2 linked regions of the Arabidopsis thaliana genome follow. The protein of the gene in region 2 interacts with the protein of the main gene of each other region in a pairwise test. Each region holds a gene or a part of one and is shown on either strand. Other genes may lie near its edges.

Region 1 (4,305 bases), on a different chromosome or scaffold from region 2:
TGGGCAGATTCCTTTTCCTCATTTTTGGACACACCGACATGAAGTCGTCGTCCATAGTTGGATAAGATTTCAGGAGTCTATCCCTGGTCGGAGTCACTTGCAAATGACCTCTTCAAACTTTTACTTACTTAGTTAATAAAAAGTTTCTTAGATAAATGAACCATATAATTCATCTTTTATGACAGCATGACATTTAATTTAATGTTTATATCAAACCATATTCATGAATTGAGTGATCGATCTGTATTAATTTTATAACATGCAACTGCTAGAATATATGCTTGCTTTATAGAGTACTAAAGACGATTCACGTTTCTCTTAAATGGTGTTGTATAATGCGATAGATGGTTCAACATCTAACATTTAACACATCTCTCGTGTTCTTCATTGTTCTCCTCACAAACCCCACGCATCTTTTCCATTTTTAAGGTTCTGTTTATTACTACTACGATCTCACTTTAATGCTCACTATCACGCAGTCACTGCAATCTCCAGCTTTTTAGTACTCCATTCGTTACAAGTATTACATTTATATTTCTGTATCCATTAAATATAAATTCAAGTAAGAAAGTTCCAAACAAAACAAAAATCCAAGAAATTTTTTTAGAAGCCGTGAATTCTCTGGCCTTCTTCTACTTGACAATACCTTATCTCTCTGACTCTTCTCTGAAATTTTTTAACTAACAACTGAAGAAATCTCCTTTTGGATCATTCCAAAAGTTTCACAAAATCCAGAAGAAAAAAAGAAGAAGATTATATAGAAAATTTCAATTGTGAAATTATCAAAATTCCCTCTAGAAACTCCATTTCCAGACCTTGACACTAAGATCAGACTTACACTTAGTTTTTTTAGAAGTAGCTACAATTGGAGTTTTACCTTTTGGTATAGTTCCTTCAAATCCTTCACATGTCACTTTGATCTCTACTCCTTCACTCTTCAGCTTCCCCATTATCATCTTCACTTTAGTTCTCATCTCGATCTCATATCCTACACGCGCGCGCGTCAGATCTGATCTCAGATGCTTAGCTTCATCCGGATCTAACTCACGCGCCGCTGTAGACGTAGCGATCACGCCGTGAAACGAAGTTTTGTTACCGTTATCGCTGAAGAAAGCAGGAACAGTTCCGTTACCGAGCATCGTACCGGATTTAGCTGAATTAACGGTGACGGTGAAAGGATCGTAAGAGAAAGAGAGGTGTTGGTTTGGATTCTCTGAGATTAGAGTGAAGTTGAAGAAGGAAGAGAGATGAGAGACGGAGGAATCAGAGGAGGTTGTTAGGTTCACGCGGCTGATTCTTATTGACGGGACGGAGAACGACGGCGGACGAGGGTGGTAGATCACGTACATCGCGGTGGCGGCGATTGCAGTCATGAGAGCTAAGATCAGAATTATCAGAATCGACCAGAAACAGCAACAACAGCAAATTCGTCGGCAGCTTGGTCGAGATTGGTGGTGATGACGGCGACTGTAAGGCTGTGGACGGTAAACCGGACGGTTAGCTGGAATGTAGACTTGAGGTTTCTGATTAGCCATTCCGTTTGTTGTTCCGTTGCTGGTTACAGTCGCCGGAGCTGGAGGAGGTGGTATGGAACCAACTGGTGGAGCTCCATTAGTGGCGGTTGGTGGTTTGGAAGCTGGGAAGACTCGGTCAGTCATCTTCTTCTTCTCCGGTTGTTTCTTTCTCTCTGGTCAGATCTGAGCTCACAAAAGAGAGAGAGATAGTGAGAGAGAAAGAGACAATACAGAGTTTTTGTGGAATCTTAATAGCTTTTTTTTCTGAGTTTATTTATTTATTGCTTTTTAATAATTTGTTTTTTTTTCGGTTTTCAGTTTTTCTTAGATTTTTGTGAATGTTCATGACTTCCATGCCAAGTCTGTGGAATCTTTTTATTGGGTGGTAAAATAATTAATGTAAGCTGATTTATTACTTACAAAGTGGCCCCATTTATTTCTGAAAAAATTATTTACACGTGTAGTATTTTAGTAACGAGTAATACTAAGATGTGTCCTGTGTACTCAAATTTTTCTTGTTTTCAGAATTTAGTAATTCACAATAGAGTATAATGTAATCAAATGAAGAAGAAGAATGGGCAAAAAAGAGTAACAATTAAAGATGTAATTAAATATCAAAATGACGGAAATAATAATCCACCGACACATATAGTGATAGTGGTAGTAGTTCACTAAAGTGTGCACGCAATTGAAATAAGTTTGAATTTAAGTCAGTGCAGGTTAAAAAAAGAGGAAATAATTAAATGAGTGCAGATATTGGAGTATTAATAGATTAGGGATCCGAAATTAAAAATATAATTAGAATAATCTCGATTTGGTTCAGACTTCAGAGAGTAAATCCCAAGTCAATAATTATTTCATCGGCAATGCTGCTCTGCTTTGAATTTTGTTAATAACCTTTGCTTCCGAGCTCTCAATTCCCAAGATTTAGCGTGATTAATAATTCAAGAGCTCTCTAACTATGTAGTATAGTTACCAATTATCACCCGGTCAAGTGTCCACACCATAAAGTCTTTAAAAAAATAAAAATAAATAACACTCAAGATCGATCACATTTCATTAAAAGATAACTGCATTACAGAGAAGCATTGTCGGAAACATCCACAAGTGGTTCCAACCAGCAAGGTACATAAACATCAACAATGGAAACATAAAGGGCAAAACATTGAGCCTACTTCACCAAACCATAAAAGTGTCTAGACATCCCAATAACTTATGGTAAAGTTTGTTTTTAACGTCTTACAGTCAAACACCTAAATATACATCCCACAACCATCGACATGAATGCAATTACATACATAGTCAGAGATTATATAGTATGACGAGAGAAGCAAAGTTGTAAGAATAAAACAAATCCTAACTTACAAAGGAGGCAGAGCACAAATAACCAGAAGCAATGGTTGCCAAACAAAACAAATCCTAACTAAGAACATTCCTTGCTCTTTGTAATAGATATAGATAATTAAGAGAGTATGATAAGCATAACTTCAACAAATGTGGATTCTAAAACATAACTTCTCCACAACGTGCACGGCTAGATAGAGCACTTCATCGTTAGCATTCAACAAAATGTTTTACATTATCCTCTGAATATCCGCATAATACGAACAAATAGAAGTATTGGTAGGTGATGAGAAATGGCAAATTTTTATAGATAGGGCTAGATTTCCATGACTGCTTTAGGTGACCCCTTAAGCATCAAGATTATTACAACACACAACTAACACAACCGAACAAAACAAACACTAGCAGAAACTATCCCCCAAGGACAAAAACCATATCCAAAAGAAGTTAAAATCGACTTTGTTCTTTCTTCTTTTAACCATCGGTTCGACTATAACCACCGGTTCGATATTGTCGGATATCTAAAACCGGACCCGACAGGAACTACTCTTAAACTTGTTGACTTTTTTTTTCTAAACCCTTCAGTGTTACTGTAACAGTCGCACACCTAACAAAAATCCTCCAGCCATGGCGGCAGTTACTCAATTTCTCTCCCAACCTTCATCAATCCGCGGAACCCTAAATCAGTACCAATTGAATCAGACTTCACTCTCAAGAATCCCATTTTTGTCTCTCAAGTCAACATTGAAGCCACTTAAACGCCTCTCCGTCAAAGCCGCCGTTTCCCAAAACTCCACCAAAACCCTCACGAAAGAATCTGCTTCCTCTTTCGACCACTGTTTCAAGAAATCATCAGATGGGTTTCTCTATTGCGAAGGAACCAAGGTTCAAGATATCATGGAAACAGTCGAGAAACGACCCTTTTACTTATATAGCAAACCTCAGATCACGAGAAACCTTGAGGCTTATAAAGAGGCTTTGGAAGGAGTGAGATCTGTTATTGGTTACGCTATTAAAGCTAATAACAATCTCAAGATTTTGGAGCATTTGAGGAGTTTGGGCTGTGGTGCTGTGTTGGTTAGTGGAAATGAGCTCAGGCTTGCTCTTCTTGCTGGTTTCGATCCCACAAAGTACGATTCTTTATCCCCAATAATAAAGTTTGAATATTTTTTTATTTGGTCTCATGTTGATGTGTAGTTTTTGACCATGTCTTCGGTGTGGATGAAATGAATAGGTGTATTTTCAATGGAAATGGAAAGTCTTTGGAAGATTTAGTTCTAGCTGCTCAAGAAGGTGTTTTCGTAAATGTTGATAGTGAGTTTGACTTGAATAACATTGTGGAAGCTTCAAGAATTTCTGGTAAGCAGGTCAATGTGTTGTTGCGTATCAATCCTGATGTTGATCCTCAGGTATGGTTAAATTTTCAATCTTTTAGCAGCATGTCCTA
Region 2 (4,305 bases):
CTTTACTCTGCTTTTTGACTTTTCAAAAAGAAAAAGATTTTTTATTTACAATAGAAAAGTATATTACATTACATAATACACAATCAAATTTCATATTTCAAATAATAATTCAGTAAATTTTGTAATTTATTACAATATCTTTATTTAATAATTATTTTGTTTCCAGCACATAAAGTATCTACAATACTATTATTTAATAAAATAACACAAAATATTATGAATATTTCTGATTTATAAGAAATAAGGTTGAATTTTGATGAAATTCAAAGTTATTATATTTCACATATAATCAGGTTACCTAAAACACGAATATAACATATGTTCTTAAGTTAATAACATTATCTAAAAACTCTTAAAATGATCCAAAATGTCAACTGTAACTCATAAAACGTTAATGTAGATTTTAGTACAAATTTAAATTAATATATTTAAAAGTTTTATCAATCATAATTATTATATATTTTGGTGATTTTTAACAAAACTTAACTAATCTTTCTTTTTTTTTGTAATCAAAACGCAAACTAACGAAACCAATTGTGAAAATTTTGATTTACAATATTAAAGTATACATAATTTATTAAAAACATAACAAAAATAACATCATTGAAAACCTTTATAAAAAATATATAACTAAATGCTGTGACTACTTTCCTAAGTTTCTCTCAAGTTTTTTTCAAGTTTTGCTCAATTATTTATTTGGTAAATTATATGCAGAAAAACAAAACAATTCCACAACTTTTTCTCAAGGTTTTTTTTTTGTGTGCTCATAATTTATAAATTGAAATTAGAAAGATACATGAAGATTAGGCTTCATCGGAGAAATCCGAGTAACAAGTTCGAAAATTGAAAAGCTTAACCATACATAACTCAAACATAGAGACACGAACTGCAGTAAGCTTGATAGGGGAAGAAGTGTCGAAACTAACTAACACAAGCATGCCCATGAGGAAGGGACGGATAACGAAGAAACTCCATGAGTTGACAACTCTCTGCGAAGTCAAAGCATGTGTGGTAACCTACAGTCCGTACGAGAATCCAGTGGTGTGGTCGTCAACCGAAGGTGTTTAAGAGGCGGTTTTAATGTTTATTAAAAGGCCGGCGATAGAACGGTCCAAGCTGATGATGAGTCATGAGACCTACTTGTAGAACCAAATTACCAAAGAAACAAAGAAACTGGAGCGTCTACGTCTTGAAAACCGAGAAACTCAGCTTACACATTTTATGTTTGATTGTGTTGAGGGTAAGATAAGTGAGCATCAGTATGGTGCAAGGGACCTTCAAGATTTAAGTTTTCATATTGATCACTATATCAATCAGCTTAATTCCAGGGTCAAGATCCTTACAAACAATGGTGAGTCTTCTTCTTCCGTTCCTCCTCTACTTCATACTTCAGTTGCGGGTGCGGGTGCAGCTCCTCTTCCTGTTGCGGGTGCCGATCTTCCGATGGATCAGAATCAGTATGAGCCGATTCAGCTCTATATCCCTATTGGTCTTAGTTATCATATTCAATACCAACATGAAATCTATGATAATTTCAGTTTGGATCCAAATCATTAGTATCCGTTTCAACATGATCCACTCATGAATATGTTGATGGAATATCCTTATCAACAAGTGGGTTATGTTGGAGAGCATGCGCACATCCTTTTCATGAACGGAAACTACTACAACTACCACCAAACACCAACCGTTGGTCTTACTACCACCGGTCACATGCCTTCCAACAACAACACCACCCCCACCACCGATGTGTGATGTGTTTCAATAGTTTGCATTTTTGTTTTGTTCGTTTCAAAAAACCTTAAACTCTTACAACAATTAATTGGATTTGGTTTGGTTATAAAAGATGTGTCTATTCAAACACCAACTTTTGGTAAAATATTTGTAGAGGCCATACCTCGCTGTGATATATATTTCGACTATCTCATCCCATTTTTTGGGTGATTTGTTCAAAACTAGCTATGTCTTTTTCGGTATGCAATGTATAAATGTAAATGTAATTTTGACAAATTTTAAATTTTATTTAAAATTTATTTATGAAAAGTATTCATTTTGCATATAAAATACCAATTTGGCAAATTAAAGAATCTTAAAAAGAGGTGTAGGCCGGCTTTTCATTTCCTCCGTACGTAAATAAACAACCCACCAAACAAAAATCTCTCCTCGCTCCATGCCTTCTCTACTCTCTCTTCATTCTCTCCTAAGCTATGGCGAGAAGAGAAGGAGAAGTGACGGAGACCCTTCTGAAAAAGTCGACGGAGAATCGCGGAGAAGATCGGGATGGGTTAGGGATGAAGGAGAAGGTTTGGAGGGAATCTAAAAAGCTATGGGTTGTGGCTGGGCCGGCGATCTTTACGAGGTTCTCCACGTCCGGACTATCTTTGATAAGTCAAGCTTTCATTGGCCATCTTGGCTCTACCGAGTTGGCCGCTTACTCCATCACTCTCACCGTTCTCCTCCGTTTTAGTAATGGTATCTTGGTGAGTTTACTATAAGTCTATAACGATTAGATCAGTTCTTCCACACACTCTTTACTACAAATTCGTAAAACATAAAAACAATTTTTTTTTGTTTTAATAACTATTAATATATGTTAAGGATTGTTCTGATTAGTTTGAATGATATAAATCGTACTATATAAACGGTGACGTGAATGCTTAGATAGACTTCTTGTGGGAACTTGTTTTGGTTGATTTGTCAACCAATCATAAAAATTCACAACCACTCAACTCTTTGCCTTTATGAAATGAAATTATGCTATTTCTATGTATATAAGATATTGAATGTTTGGAAGGCATTGTTGGTCGTATACTCTTCGTTTATTGTTAGTGTAGTTACCTTTTTCACATAAACAAGTCTCAACTGAAACTCCATGAGTTTTGATTATTACATCAATTATTATTAATGGTTGGAAATGCAACAAAAACATTTCATTGTTAAGTAGAATCAGTGGGTAAATACAAAATAGAATAAAGTTTAGAAAGTTGGAGAATATAACAAACACCTTTAACCAAAAAAAAGTTGGAGAATATATTGATTTTATAAAAAGTGAAAAAAAAATATTGTAAGAAATGACAAAAAAAATAAAGGAATAGTCAGAAGATTAATTTATATTAAGACAATATATTCCCTTTTCTTATTTGTACTCCATAGTGCAACAAAGATAACATTGTCAAGAAGTATAGCGAGTCATTGGCCACAAATGTCCAATGGTCACCTGCCAATGCCATCGTTTTCTTAATGTTTTGGTCTTTAATTAGCATATCATGTGTGAGGTTCGAATTTATAATATGAAATAGTGCTTTTAAAATGTTATTAGACCATTGGACATATATTCAGTTACACCAAAAAAATTCAATACACAATATATGATCTCTTTACCAACAAGAGTTTATAGGTTATATACATTTTTTAGTTATCAACATGCAATATCCAAGTTTAAAGTTTAAATATTATAGTTGTTTATATATAAGCGTTTATCAAACCTACTTAGTTCTTGTTTTATAGGCAAAATATGTAAAATATTTAACCATAAAATAGTTTTTTTTTGGTGTAATAACGAACCGTCAATGAAACAATATGCAGTTAGGCATGGCTAGTGCGCTAGAAACACTATGTGGTCAAGCCTATGGAGCAAAACAATATCATATGCTTGGGATCTACCTCCAAAGATCATGGATCGTCCTCACAGGCTGTACCATTTGCCTTATGCCCATCTACATCTTTGCAGGCCCTATTCTCTTGGCTTTAGGTCAAGAGGAACGCCTTGTTCGTGTGGCTCGGATCATAGCTCTATGGGTCATAGGCATCAACATCTCCTTTGTGCCTTCCTTCACTTGCCAAATGTTCCTCCAAGCTCAGAGTAAGAACAAGATCATCGCCTACGTTGCTGCTGTTTCGTTAGGAGTCCATGTCTTCTTGTCGTGGCTTCTAGTGGTTCATTTTGATTTCGGGATCGCTGGTGCCATGACCTCTTCGCTCGTAGCACATTGGTTGCCTAACATTGCGCAGGTTTTATTTGTCACATGCGGTGGATGTACGGAAACGTGGAGAGGATTCTCTTGGTTGGCTTTCAAGGATCTTTGGCCCGTTTTTAAACTATCTGTATCTTCCGGTGGCATGATTTGGTATGATTTTCTAATCTTCTCACCTGGTAAAAGTATCAACATCCATCAACGACATAAGTATATATTTACTAGTCATACAAATACTTTTGTAGACCATGTGGTTGTAATCATATATATGAAAAGTTGACCAACTCTCTCCAAATGATTAACACATCATCACTTTAGCATTTGCCATGTG

What was found.
Region 1: the proteins of AT1G33080 (region 2) and EMB3135 interact in a protein complementation assay, tested with the Arabidopsis thaliana proteins (one large-scale study listed by BioGRID).

Annotation. Positions count from the first base shown.
Region 1 is NC_003076.8:3,829,123-3,833,427, reverse strand, and holds EMB3135 (harpin-induced protein), read right to left. Parts: upstream 1,929-4,305; 5' UTR 1,659-1,928; coding exon 795-1,658; 3' UTR 277-794; downstream 1-276. Other genes in the region: AT5G11880 (Pyridoxal-dependent decarboxylase family protein), read left to right, coding at 3,486-3,988, 4,093-4,267.
Region 2 is NC_003070.9:11,983,545-11,987,849, forward strand, and holds the start of AT1G33080 (MATE efflux family protein), read left to right. Parts: upstream 1-2,105; 5' UTR 2,106-2,207; coding exon 2,208-2,480; intron 2,481-3,585; coding exon 3,586-4,127; intron 4,128-4,305. Other genes in the region: AT1G33070 (MADS-box family protein), read left to right, coding at 1,240-1,537, 1,631-1,755.